Xenopus tropicalis: one gene and its partners. The protein of the gene in region 3 binds, or shares a complex with, the protein of the main gene of each other region. Links are inferred from orthologs where the notes say so. Each region holds a gene or a part of one and is shown on either strand. Other genes may lie near its edges.

Region 1 (3,655 bases), on a different chromosome or scaffold from region 3:
GTGTACCATTTACAATGTTAACTAGACATTGAAGGTAAATTTGAAAAGCAAAGCGGCAGTACCTGGGTTTGCTTAGCTGCAAGCAAATGGCCTTTCACACAGTGCCTTATAGATATCCAGTTAATTATCTTGAGAGCATTAACTGATTATGAATAGAATCTCTCTAAGCCTGTCACATGGTAACATGTGATCTTGATTCACAACAGACACAAGTGTGTGAACATTCCTTGATCCTTGTGGTGTTTTTTTTTTTTGTAATTAGTATGTTTTCGGGACTAGACACAAAAATTGGATTGATTGATTGTCACAAAGGTGATGTGTTAGTAAGTTAATTGTATAGACACTTTGTTAAAACAAATATTTATAGCTGCTCATTTTCAGCAGAGTTAACCTGTACAGAAGGCCTTTCGGGTAATTTTTAGAATAGTTCTTTGTGTCAAGTCATGGCTAGATAGGAGACTGATCCCCTATGGATGAGGAATTCTGTAGAGTACTGGGATGGCATCCCTTATCCAGAAACTCATTTTCCAGAAAGCTCTGAAATACAGAAAGGCCATCAACCACATTTTAAACTAATAATTTAATTTTTTTTTTTAATTATTTCCTTTTTCTCTGTAATAATAAAACAGTACCTTTAATTGATCCCAACTTAGATATAATTAATCCTGGTTGGAGGCAAAACAATCCTACTTGGTTTAATTAAGGTTTATATGTTTTTTAGTAGATTTTAAGTATGGAGATGCAAATTACAAAATACTCCTTATCTTGAAAACCCCGGGTCCAGAGCATTCTGGGTAACAGGTCCCTTACCAGTACACTACAGGTAGTGAAAGTGCCTAGATTTTCAGGAAACTCTTGAGAGTATCTCTGATATCCGTTACTATCAAAATCATTAGAAATGACTGCACTACAATACATGGTGGTCCATCCATATAAGTCTTCTTGCACAGCTGAAGATGCTCTTTCTGTCTGCAAATGCTGAATATTACATTAACTTTTTCAGAGGGACTTGGGCATAATTATATTTGTACCATTCAGAAAGTTATAACAAAGTATCAAAGTTGTACAAGAAGTTTCTTATATGGCATGCTGTAGGTATTCACACTAAAGGTATTACATGTGTTTTTTGGGCAAGCATATATTAATATAATAACCAAAGTGATAAGAAGTTAGTCTGTATGGCTTTAAAGTAAACACCTATCCATTCACAGTACATATTTAGTCATGATGTGGACTACATTTTTTAACAGGGCATTTATAATACATATTTCTTATCTTTTATTAGAAATACCATTCTGAAAATAAGAGTATTGATCGTGTAGCAGAGACCCAAGCACAAGTCGATGAACTTAAAGGAATTATGGTCCGAAATATAGGTAAGTACAAACTGCAGACATGTTTGCTCTAATGTTTTTATTATTACTGTATATCCATTTTCATATAATATAGTGCTGACAGTTATTTGCAGAGATGTTACATTGTTCACATTAGTCCCTTGTCCCAGGGGATTTTACAGTCCAAGGTCCCTAGCATTCACACACTGTAATCAGTGCCAAATAACATTTCTGTCTTTTTTGGAATGTGGGAGGAAACTGGAGAAACGGAGGAATTCCACACAAGCACAGGGAAAATATGCAGACTTGTTGCAGATGATGTTCTCGCTGGATTTAAATCTAATAATACGGATAAGGGACTCAACATAAGTTGGACATAGTTCATTGCACTAATTTAATCTTGCTTAATCTATAAGCTGTTCTTTAGGAGATTGGCACAGATGCCATTTTTGAGAATTTTGCTTACATGTTTGAGGAAACAAAAAAAAAAAAACCCTGGGAGACAAATCAACATTGTTTACATTGTTATTGGGCTTTGAGGCCAGTGGCACAAGCAGGGGTTTCTGGGTCCTAAAAAATGTGGGCGTTATGATATGCTTTATACACATTTTAAAATTGCATTTCTGCCCTGTATGTTAGTGATGCACAAGTTGGCCAGGTTTGGGCTGACCAGTATGAACAGTAAATTAAAGTAATTTATTCATATAAAGGGCAATGCCACCTGGAGCACTTCAGGGCATTTTGTTGTCCCTGCAATTTCCAGCTGGGCAGGTGACAAAACACTTGGAATCTACATTTATGTTTGATCCTAAAACTGGAGCCTGAAAACTGTCACTTCTCTGACACAGATTTACCTTGCCTTTTATTTCCAGATCTGGTTGCCCAAAGAGGAGAACGGTTAGAGCTACTGATAGATAAAACAGAAAGCCTTGTTGATTCTGTAAGTATGCATTTGGTACTGTTTTTAAAATTGTTTTCTCTACTGGAATTATGTCGATTTCTTAGTCCTTTTATTCATTTTATAAAATGCTAGTGTTCAAATTATGTTGATGACTAAATTTTATTCTTTATCACTTTCTTAAAGTCTGTCACGTTCAAGACCACAAGCAGAAACTTGGCCAGAGCTATGTGCATGAAAAATTTGAAGTTGACCATCATAATTGCTATTGTAACCATAGTAAGTGCTGCTCTCCTCCTCACTTGCTGTTGCTTTTAAAGTGGTTTGGTAAATGCAACGTAATAGGGGTTTTCATTACTTTACATTGGTTGCTATGGGTTACTAGATGTGGGCAAATAGTCAAGTATTTATTATGCAAAATGTATTTATCTTTTTTTTTTTTCCCTTCTCCTATAGGTTATCATCTACATTATTGTGTCAGCAGCATGTGGGGGACTGTCATGGCCAAGCTGTGTGAATAAGTAGTGTTTTCTAGTGCATGAGGATTGTCCAAGAATGAGGAAAATAGTGCACTACTGTTTCACATGTGTAGCATCCTGTAGAAAAGAGACTTTAAAAAGAAGCCTTTTCCCTTGGACGCGATGACTTATCCTCTTCATTATTCTCTCATCCTTCCATCCCTAGTGGACTTCTACTGTATCTCTCTACGACATATACAAGGGAAAAGGAGGAGTGTGCGGCATCATCTTGTGCAGACAGTGAGTTGGAAGAGAAATTGGTGAATACAGATCGGCATTTCTTCTTTTTGTTGATTTTTTTTTTTGTCAGTACTGTGCCACTGATAATACTCATTAACTTCCATGACTTGTATCTGCAAAGAGTTTGCGTTTTTAGTCTTAACTGAAAACTTTTTTCCTTTCACTTTTAACCCTGTTCTTAGAGAAATATTCATTTTGTGGCTGGTGCCATTTGGGCATATTGCATTGGATGCTTTGGATTATGTGTGTCATTTGGCACCTTTGGTTGGTTGACCCACTGTAATATACTGTTTGCCATACCCAATTCCATGTGCCTCATTTAGACACACATTTTCCGGTAGTTCATGTTAAATTGTTAAAATGTATTAAGATTTTGTTCTCATTCCAAGAAACTGTTTTTATCGTTGTATACCCAGTAGTGGGATAGACTAATATTTCCCAGAAATGTCAAAAATCTTTAAGGCACTTCTGATCAACAGAAAGAAAACGTATTCTCATAAAATATATATATATATATATATATATATATATATATATTATGTTAATTTTTTTTTTTTGACAGGCCCTCGTTGTTAATGTTTGTATGCATTTGTGTCTGAAATGATGCCAGGCTGTGAAGCTACTTGAAAATCAAAAATTCTTTACACATGCCATTGGAAGTTAGA
Region 2 (3,755 bases), about 13 Mb from region 3:
ACAGAGCCCAGGCAAAAGAGGCAGAAGTGCCCTGTACTTTATGCATACAGTAGGAATTGTTAGAGAGGCAGAAGTGCCCTGTACTTTATGCATACAGTAGGAATTGTTAGAGAGGCAGAAGTGCCCTGTACTTTATGCATATAGTAGGAATTGTTAGAGAGGCAGAAGTGCCCTGTACTTTATGCATACAGTAGGAATTGTTAGAGAGGCAGAAGTGCCCTGTACTTTATGCATACAGTAGGAATTGTTAGAGAGGCAGAAGTGCCCTGTACTTTATGCATATAGTAGGAATTGTTAGAGAGGCAAAAGAGAAAGGCGCTGTGAATAGAGGCCTACACATCAGTTATTTATTCCTGTAGAATATCTACCACTCCTACTTACTGATTTCAGCCTGGTCACCTTCGAAGAAAGATTTTCTGACAGCCGTTTGTTCTCTGCATCCAACATCTCATCCACTGCTCCTGAATTTGGCCCTGTAAAAAAAACAAAGAGCAACTGAATGGCAGGTTTTTCTTTTTTGGAAGGGGAAGGGACAGTGGTGCCGGCCCAACAACGCGGGGAAGGGACAGTGGTGCCGGCCCAACAACGCGGGGAAGGGACAGTGGTGCCGGCCCAACAACGCGGGGAAGGGACAGTGGTGCCGGCCCAACAACGCGGGGAAGGGACAGTGGTGCCGGCCCAACAACGCGGGGAAGGGACAGTGGTGCCGGCCCAACAACGCGGGGAAGGGACAGTGGTGCCGGCCCAACAACGCGGGGAAGGGACAGTGGTGCCGGCCCAACAACGCGGGGAAGGGACAGTGGTGCCGGCCCAACAACGCGGGGAAGGGACAGTGGTGCCGGCCCTGAATCACGAGAGTGGAAACTAGAATGAGACTGTCAGGATGTAAGAAGGGATTTCCAGGATGCCCGACTGCTGTCTCACCTAATGCACAAACACATCCCCAGACTAAAGTCCTCATGTGTGACGTGCATTTAACATAATCAATAAAGCCAATTTCAATATATATCAATATATATCTGGCCATGGCAAGGCAGATCCTAGTGCGATATGGCCATAGTCACATATGGGCAGAGTTTCTCTGGGCCTTTTTGCAATATACATTCATTTCAGAAACCCCAGGGTTAAAAGAAACTACAAATGCATAGACAGTCAGGGCCACAGTCTTTTCGGGCATTCAAAGAGAGCTGATGAGCCGAGGTCTTCCTGGCAGCACGTATCTGCTACTGACTCACAAACCATTAAAACTAGAAAATCAATGCACACTGCAAAAGTGCTCAGAGACTGCTAAGTTTATAGCAATTCCCCTTCAAGGAGCCGACTATAACGCACTAAGAAAGTAACCTGGAGCCCTATGAAACCCTCCCCCACCCCTATTATGTCTGAAATTATTACAACAGCCCCTCAGATATCAACAAGAGAAGAGAGAGGCACCCAAATGTGTGCTTATTATAATATTATTATTATAAGTACAGGAAATCATTGCTTATGGTGCCGTACCCACGCACAACACTAATACACTTCCCCAGCCCAGTAACGAGCAGAGAGATCTCCAACTCCCCTCACACTGGGGACTGCTGGTACAGACTGCAACACTATACAGACTGGTACAGACTGCAACACTATACAGACTGGTACAGACTGCAACACTATACAGACTGGTACAGACTGCAACACTATACAGACTGGTACAGACTGCAACACTATACAGACTGCAACACTATACAGACTGGTACAGACTGCAACACTATACAGACTGGTACAGACTGCAACACTATACAGACTGGTACAGACTGCAACACTATACAGACTGGTACAGACTGCAACACTATACAGACTGGTACAGCAACTGGCAACACCTATACAGACTGGTACAGACTGCAACACTATACAGAACTGGTACAGACTGCAACACTATACAGACTGGTACAGACTGCAACACTATACAGACTGGTACAGACTGCAACACTATACAGACTGGTACTGGTAAGACTGCAACACTATACAGACTGGTACAGACTGCAACACTATACAGACTGGTACAGACTGCAACACTATACAGACTGGTACAGACTGCAACACTATACAGACTGGTACAGACTGCAACACTATACAGACTGGTACAGACTGCAACACTATACAGACTGGTACGACTGCAACACTATACAGACTGGTACAGACTGCAACACTATACAGACTGGTACAGACTGCAACACTATACAGACTGGTACAGACTGCAACACTATACAGACTGGTACAGACTGCAACACTATACAGACTGGTACAGACTGCAACACTATACTAGAGACCCCCACGACTCTCTAATGACTCCTAGAACAGTCTCAGTCTACACAGAGTAGAACCCCCGCACCCTGAACACTGTGTAGTACAGAGTATACAGCACATTCCCATACTGACCTTCCCTAACAGAGAAATCACCCACCAAAGGCCTTCAGAGTACTTCCCCATACAGCCCCCATGGAGACCACCCCTAGCATAGAGCCCCACCCAGGACAGAGTACCGCCCCCAAACATTAATTCCAGCATAGATTCCCTCTCAGTTCCTTTGCTTTACGCTTAATATCCCAGAGCGAATCCCACGCAAACACCTTCTCTGTTTGCCAGGCCGCTGCCCCCACTCTCTCGGCATTCAGGGAGCACTGATATCCTACATAACACACGTATTTATCTCACACAAGCACCCTAGACCCCAGTACCTCTGCCCCAGTCCGCCATCTTGGATTCTTCTAAATGTGACGCGGCAGGATATTACACGTCACTAACGTCACCCTCACAGCCACCAATACGCTTCAACCTTGCGTCAGTGCGTCAAGAAAGGACGGACTGTCTCATTAAGCCACGCCTATTAATGTTTAGGCGTTCGCTGTTGCCATGGAAGCAGTTTATCCGAATTATCCTAATATAAAAAAAATAAAGTGAAACGTGCACTCCTTTTGCTTCTCCTACTTTGTGTGTTGTGGCTAGCTCCGCCCCACATGGCGAATCTCTTGGGGGATCTTGGGATTTGTGGTCCAACAAAAACAGTGGAAGCAGATTACACATTACAGCTCAATACTCCCCCCACATATTCTCCAATTTGGAGCCTCTCTCAATGTAGTTTGTGACAAAAAAGGCTTCCAGTGCTTTAAGGAATGGCGACACCAAAAAATGAAAATTATTTCAAGTAATTAAAATATAATGTACTGTTTCCCTGCACTAGTAAAAGTTCTTTTACTTCATAAACCCTACTCTAGTTTATATATACAAAGCTGCTGTGTAGCCCTGGGGTTATGGTTGCCACCTGTCTGGTAAAAATGATGCTTAGTGCCAATGTTATTATTAGAAAAAAAAGATAAAAATATAGGAAGGCCGGTATTTATTTTCAGAAAAGGTGGCAAAAAAAAAAGAGGACAAAAGACAAAAAACTGATAAGCTCTCTAGAATACAATGGGAAACTACACTGCTTATCTATTATCAGCTGTGTAACCTGTGTCAATTAGGGCTCTTGCACACGGGGAGATCAGTCGCCCGCGACAAAACTCCCTGTTCGCGGGCGACTAATCTCCCCGAGTTGCCATGAGCGAACATGTGAACATGTAAGTCGCCGGCGGGATGGCACACGCGGCGGCGCGATTTCACGAAATCGCCGAAAAAGACTCGCGAGGTGACTAATCTCCCCGTGTGCCAGAGCCCTTAGCCTTATTTCAGTTTGATACAGCTTTGTTTATATAAAATATAGTTGAGATTCTAATGCA
Region 3 (3,655 bases):
AGTATGAGGAAAATCTTGATCATAAGCCAGCGGTTCGATGTGACAGATTGGAAATACTTCAGGATCTCTTGATGGGCGCCCTCCACGTTTAACTGAGTGTCTTCTACATTTCCATCAATCCTGAGAAGGTAGAATTGAGCATAAAGTGGAAAAAGGTTAGCACCCAGGATACTAGATAAGAGTTCACAACAAGAAAATGAATAAGCATGGAGTAAGCACTCACCTTTGTATAGTCTCTTCCTGCTCCTTTACCATATGAGCCAGCTGCTGAAATATGGATCCCAGTTCTACTATTGTAGATTCTATATTCTGCATGGTGTCTGCTCGACTTTGGATGTATGAGTCCTAAGGGATAGAGACATCTATGTAAACTTCCACTGTATGTTTCCAATTAATATTTTAAAGGGTTTAGCATAATCTCTCTGCTGGTACCGTACATGCAGTATATAAAATGAAACATGTATAGCCATGTATGAAGTTTATTCTAAAAGAAGAATTTTCTCAACATTCTTTTGTTTCCTGTAACGATAGTATGGAGGACATAAAGTAATGGCAGCTGTCCTACCACATGAAGTACATTTTTAAAAATCAGTAGTTTTGATATAGTATGAGCTACTGGAAATGATTAAATTATCCTTTAGGCCTAACATAGCAACTTGACAATGTTGTTTTAATTTTTATTATCAATCTCTCCCTTCCAAAATTCAACTATCTTTGGACATAGCAAAATTAAATGAAAGTGTTAATACTCCATTCTGGGGGGACAGAATGAGTAGTTGCTGGTACAGGTATTGTAAGTGTTAACCAGAAAGGCCATCTCTCATAGACTCCATTTTAATAAAATATTTCACATTTTTAAAAATGATTTATTGTTTCCCTGGAAAAATAAAACTGTACCTTCTACTTTATCCTAATTAAGATATAATTAACCCATATTGAAGGCAAAACAATTCTATTGGCTTAATTAATGTTGACATTTTTTTTAGCAGATATAAAGTATAGAGATCCAAATTACAGAATGACCCTTTATTTGGAAAACCCCAGGTCCCAAACCAGTATAATCCTCCATATTCCAGATTAATTAATCTAAAACATAATTCTTTCCAGTCTTCTCAATTAATGGTTTTATTATTATTAGAAATTGAGTGAGGACACGTCCTAATTTCTAAGGTCTGATCTTTCCTTGGAAAAACATAAAATAAAAATCATAACATTTAATACTTGCAAAACTCCCAGGGATTTGGTATTATTTTGTTTTATTCTCTTTTCAAATAAAATTATATGGGATTTACTATTCTGATAGGTCAGTGCTCTCCAACTGGCGGCCCGCGGGCCGCATGCGGCCCTCGACCCCCCTCTGTGTGGCCCCCCACCTGTCTGGCTGCTTTGATGGCTTAAAATGGTATCAGTACTAACCTTAACTGGCCCCCTGCATAGTTATCACCTCAGATTCAGGCTGTAATCCCTCTGTATTGTTTAAAAATGTAATCCCCTGTGTTGTTCACACCTTTTAAACTCTGTATTGTTCACCCCCTGCAGTGTTCACACCTCAGGCTCAGGCTGTAATCACTCACATTGTTCACCTATTCACACCTCAGACATTGTATGTACTGCCTGGCCTATGCTGCCTGTGTATAGGCAGCATAGGGTAGGCAGAGTGTGGCACATAGGCAGCATAAGGCAGGCAGAGTATGATACACACAGGCAGCATAGGAAAGGCAGAATGCTGCCTGTGTGTGCCATATTCTGCCTACCCTATGCTGCCTGTGGGAGGTGAACCTGGCAGGGGTTTGTTCTGGGAGTTTGTTAGCAGTTGGAAATAGCCATTAAATGGTCCCTAAGGTGTGTAATTATATTCTGGGGGTTGCTGTGCTATCCATAGAGGAGGAGGCGGCATATGGATTTAAGGGTGTGTCTTAATATGACATAATATAATTCTTTAACATATGAATGATGGTTGATATCCCTGCAGCGACCATTGTGATAAAATGGGTGTGGTTTGAAATGGGGGAGTGGCCAAAACTGGCTTCCATTAGCGGCCCTCCACCATGTATTCGAGAGAAATTCCGGCCCTCGGCACTGCAGAAGTTGGACAGCACTGTGATAGGTGGTTTCACTACTATGTTAGATATAATGAAAATGGAGGCACTGCTCTTTTATACCATTTAAATATGGAATCTGCCATTTCTGGGGGGGATTGCCCTTGTTTAACAGAGCTGGAAAAAATTCTGCAAAAATGTCTGATCATGGGAAAAATATGCAGTTTAAAAGGAGGTGAGTGTTTTCTATTAAGGTATACTGATGGAATATATTAGCTGCATATTTTCGCTCCTCACCTGCTCATCAATAAGCTGCAGCTGCTGACTAACTCTGGAATCCATTTCTATAGTCACATCTCCCTGTCTGCGAGAGTCATCCTGAAGAAGAACCGAGGGACCTATGGTGACACGACATTGAGTGAGAACACTATAATGCTGATACATGCAGGAATTTTTCAGAGAGAAAAATCCATATGAAAACTACCATAGCAATATCAATACAGAAAAACAAAGTGTACAATAATAAAAACTGGTAAGAAAAAAGACCTTGTTCACCCTGCAGACTCATGATTTAGCCAAACCAAATAATTTTGACAAGGTATATGAATACCAGCCAGTTTGTCTCTCGTAAAAAACATATTCACCAAGATCTGATCAATGTTAGGTCCTCTTTCCCAGAGGAATCACCATATCTTTGGAAAATAAACAAACTATAAAGTCTGAAGGGCAAACAAATGAATGGTTGGACCACTGACCTGATACAGAACAGTGACAGCAGACAAAAATGCATGTAGTCAGTAAGGCACAGGATTACACAACACACACTCTACCTAGGCTATTATGATGAAGTGGGAGTGCCACCTGGCCTTGAGAGAAGTGTTCCCTTCGACTCCTCTGTTGCTTTAGGTTCTGTGGAAAAGATGCATGTGTTAAACATGGGATTTAGGGATTTTCACCCTCAACCTATAACGCTTAACTAAAGTACTTTACCTCTGTCCTAACTTCCAAAACCGACTTGAAATCATTAGACATTGATGCAAGCTTTGACTGAAAGAGAGAAAAATAGTTTGATTAATTAGAGATGAACCTTACAGAAATGTTTAACATGGCTTCACAGTAGCAGGAGGTGTAAGCCAGCAAGTCTTAAAGAGTACCCAACTCCCATTTATTAACCCTTACCTGCAGGGAGACCACAACCGTATTTGAATGAGTCTGAAGATGTCGCCCACTTTGACTGCCACGAGCACGGACAAAAGACTGGAGCTGAGCAATCTGCTGGTTCAGACTTCCTATATCCTGCAAGTGTTCCAAGAAAAGTATGTTCATAGTCAGCATTGGTACCCAACCAGTTGCTCGGGAACAAAATTTTGCTCACCAACCCCTTGGATGTTGTTCCCAGTGGCCTTAAAGCAGATGCTTATTTTTGAATTCCTGGCTTGGAGGCAAGTTTTGGCTGCATTAAAACCAAAGTGTACTGCCACTGTCAAAGCCTCCTGTAGGCTCCAAGCCCACATAGGAGCTACCAAATAGCCAATCATAGCCCTTATTTAGCACCCTCATGTACAATTTTCATGCTTTTATTGCTCCCCAACTCTTTTTACATTTGAATGTGGCTC

The links.
Region 1: stx5 (region 3) and vamp7 share a complex: the UniProt entries of both Homo sapiens proteins name them as parts of the SNARE complex. The link is inferred for Xenopus tropicalis from reciprocal best matches to the Homo sapiens genes STX5 and VAMP7.
Region 2: stx5 (region 3) and bet1l share a complex: the UniProt entries of both Homo sapiens proteins name them as parts of the SNARE complex. The link is inferred for Xenopus tropicalis from reciprocal best matches to the Homo sapiens genes STX5 and BET1L.

Annotation. Positions count from the first base shown.
Region 1 is NC_030684.2:65,382,597-65,386,251, forward strand, and holds part of vamp7 (vesicle-associated membrane protein 7), read left to right. Parts: intron 1-1,285; coding exon 1,286-1,376; intron 1,377-2,206; coding exon 2,207-2,274; intron 2,275-2,418; coding exon 2,419-2,511; intron 2,512-2,688; coding exon 2,689-2,757; 3' UTR 2,758-3,655. UniProt on the Homo sapiens protein: Involved in the targeting and/or fusion of transport vesicles to their target membrane during transport of proteins from the early endosome to the lysosome. Required for heterotypic fusion of late endosomes with lysosomes and homotypic lysosomal fusion.
Region 2 is NC_030680.2:24,002,323-24,006,077, reverse strand, and holds the start of bet1l (BET1-like protein), read right to left. Parts: upstream 2,830-3,755; 5' UTR 2,737-2,829; coding exon 2,718-2,736; intron 2,481-2,717; exon of another isoform or gene 2,419-2,480; intron 474-2,418; coding exon 382-473; intron 1-381. UniProt on the Homo sapiens protein: Vesicle SNARE required for targeting and fusion of retrograde transport vesicles with the Golgi complex. Required for the integrity of the Golgi complex.
Region 3 is NC_030680.2:36,546,061-36,549,715, forward strand, and holds part of stx5 (syntaxin-5), read right to left. Parts: intron 3,336-3,655; coding exon 3,219-3,335; intron 3,087-3,218; coding exon 3,030-3,086; intron 2,949-3,029; coding exon 2,870-2,948; intron 2,438-2,869; coding exon 2,337-2,437; intron 346-2,336; coding exon 224-345; intron 121-223; coding exon 1-120. UniProt on the Homo sapiens protein: Mediates endoplasmic reticulum to Golgi transport.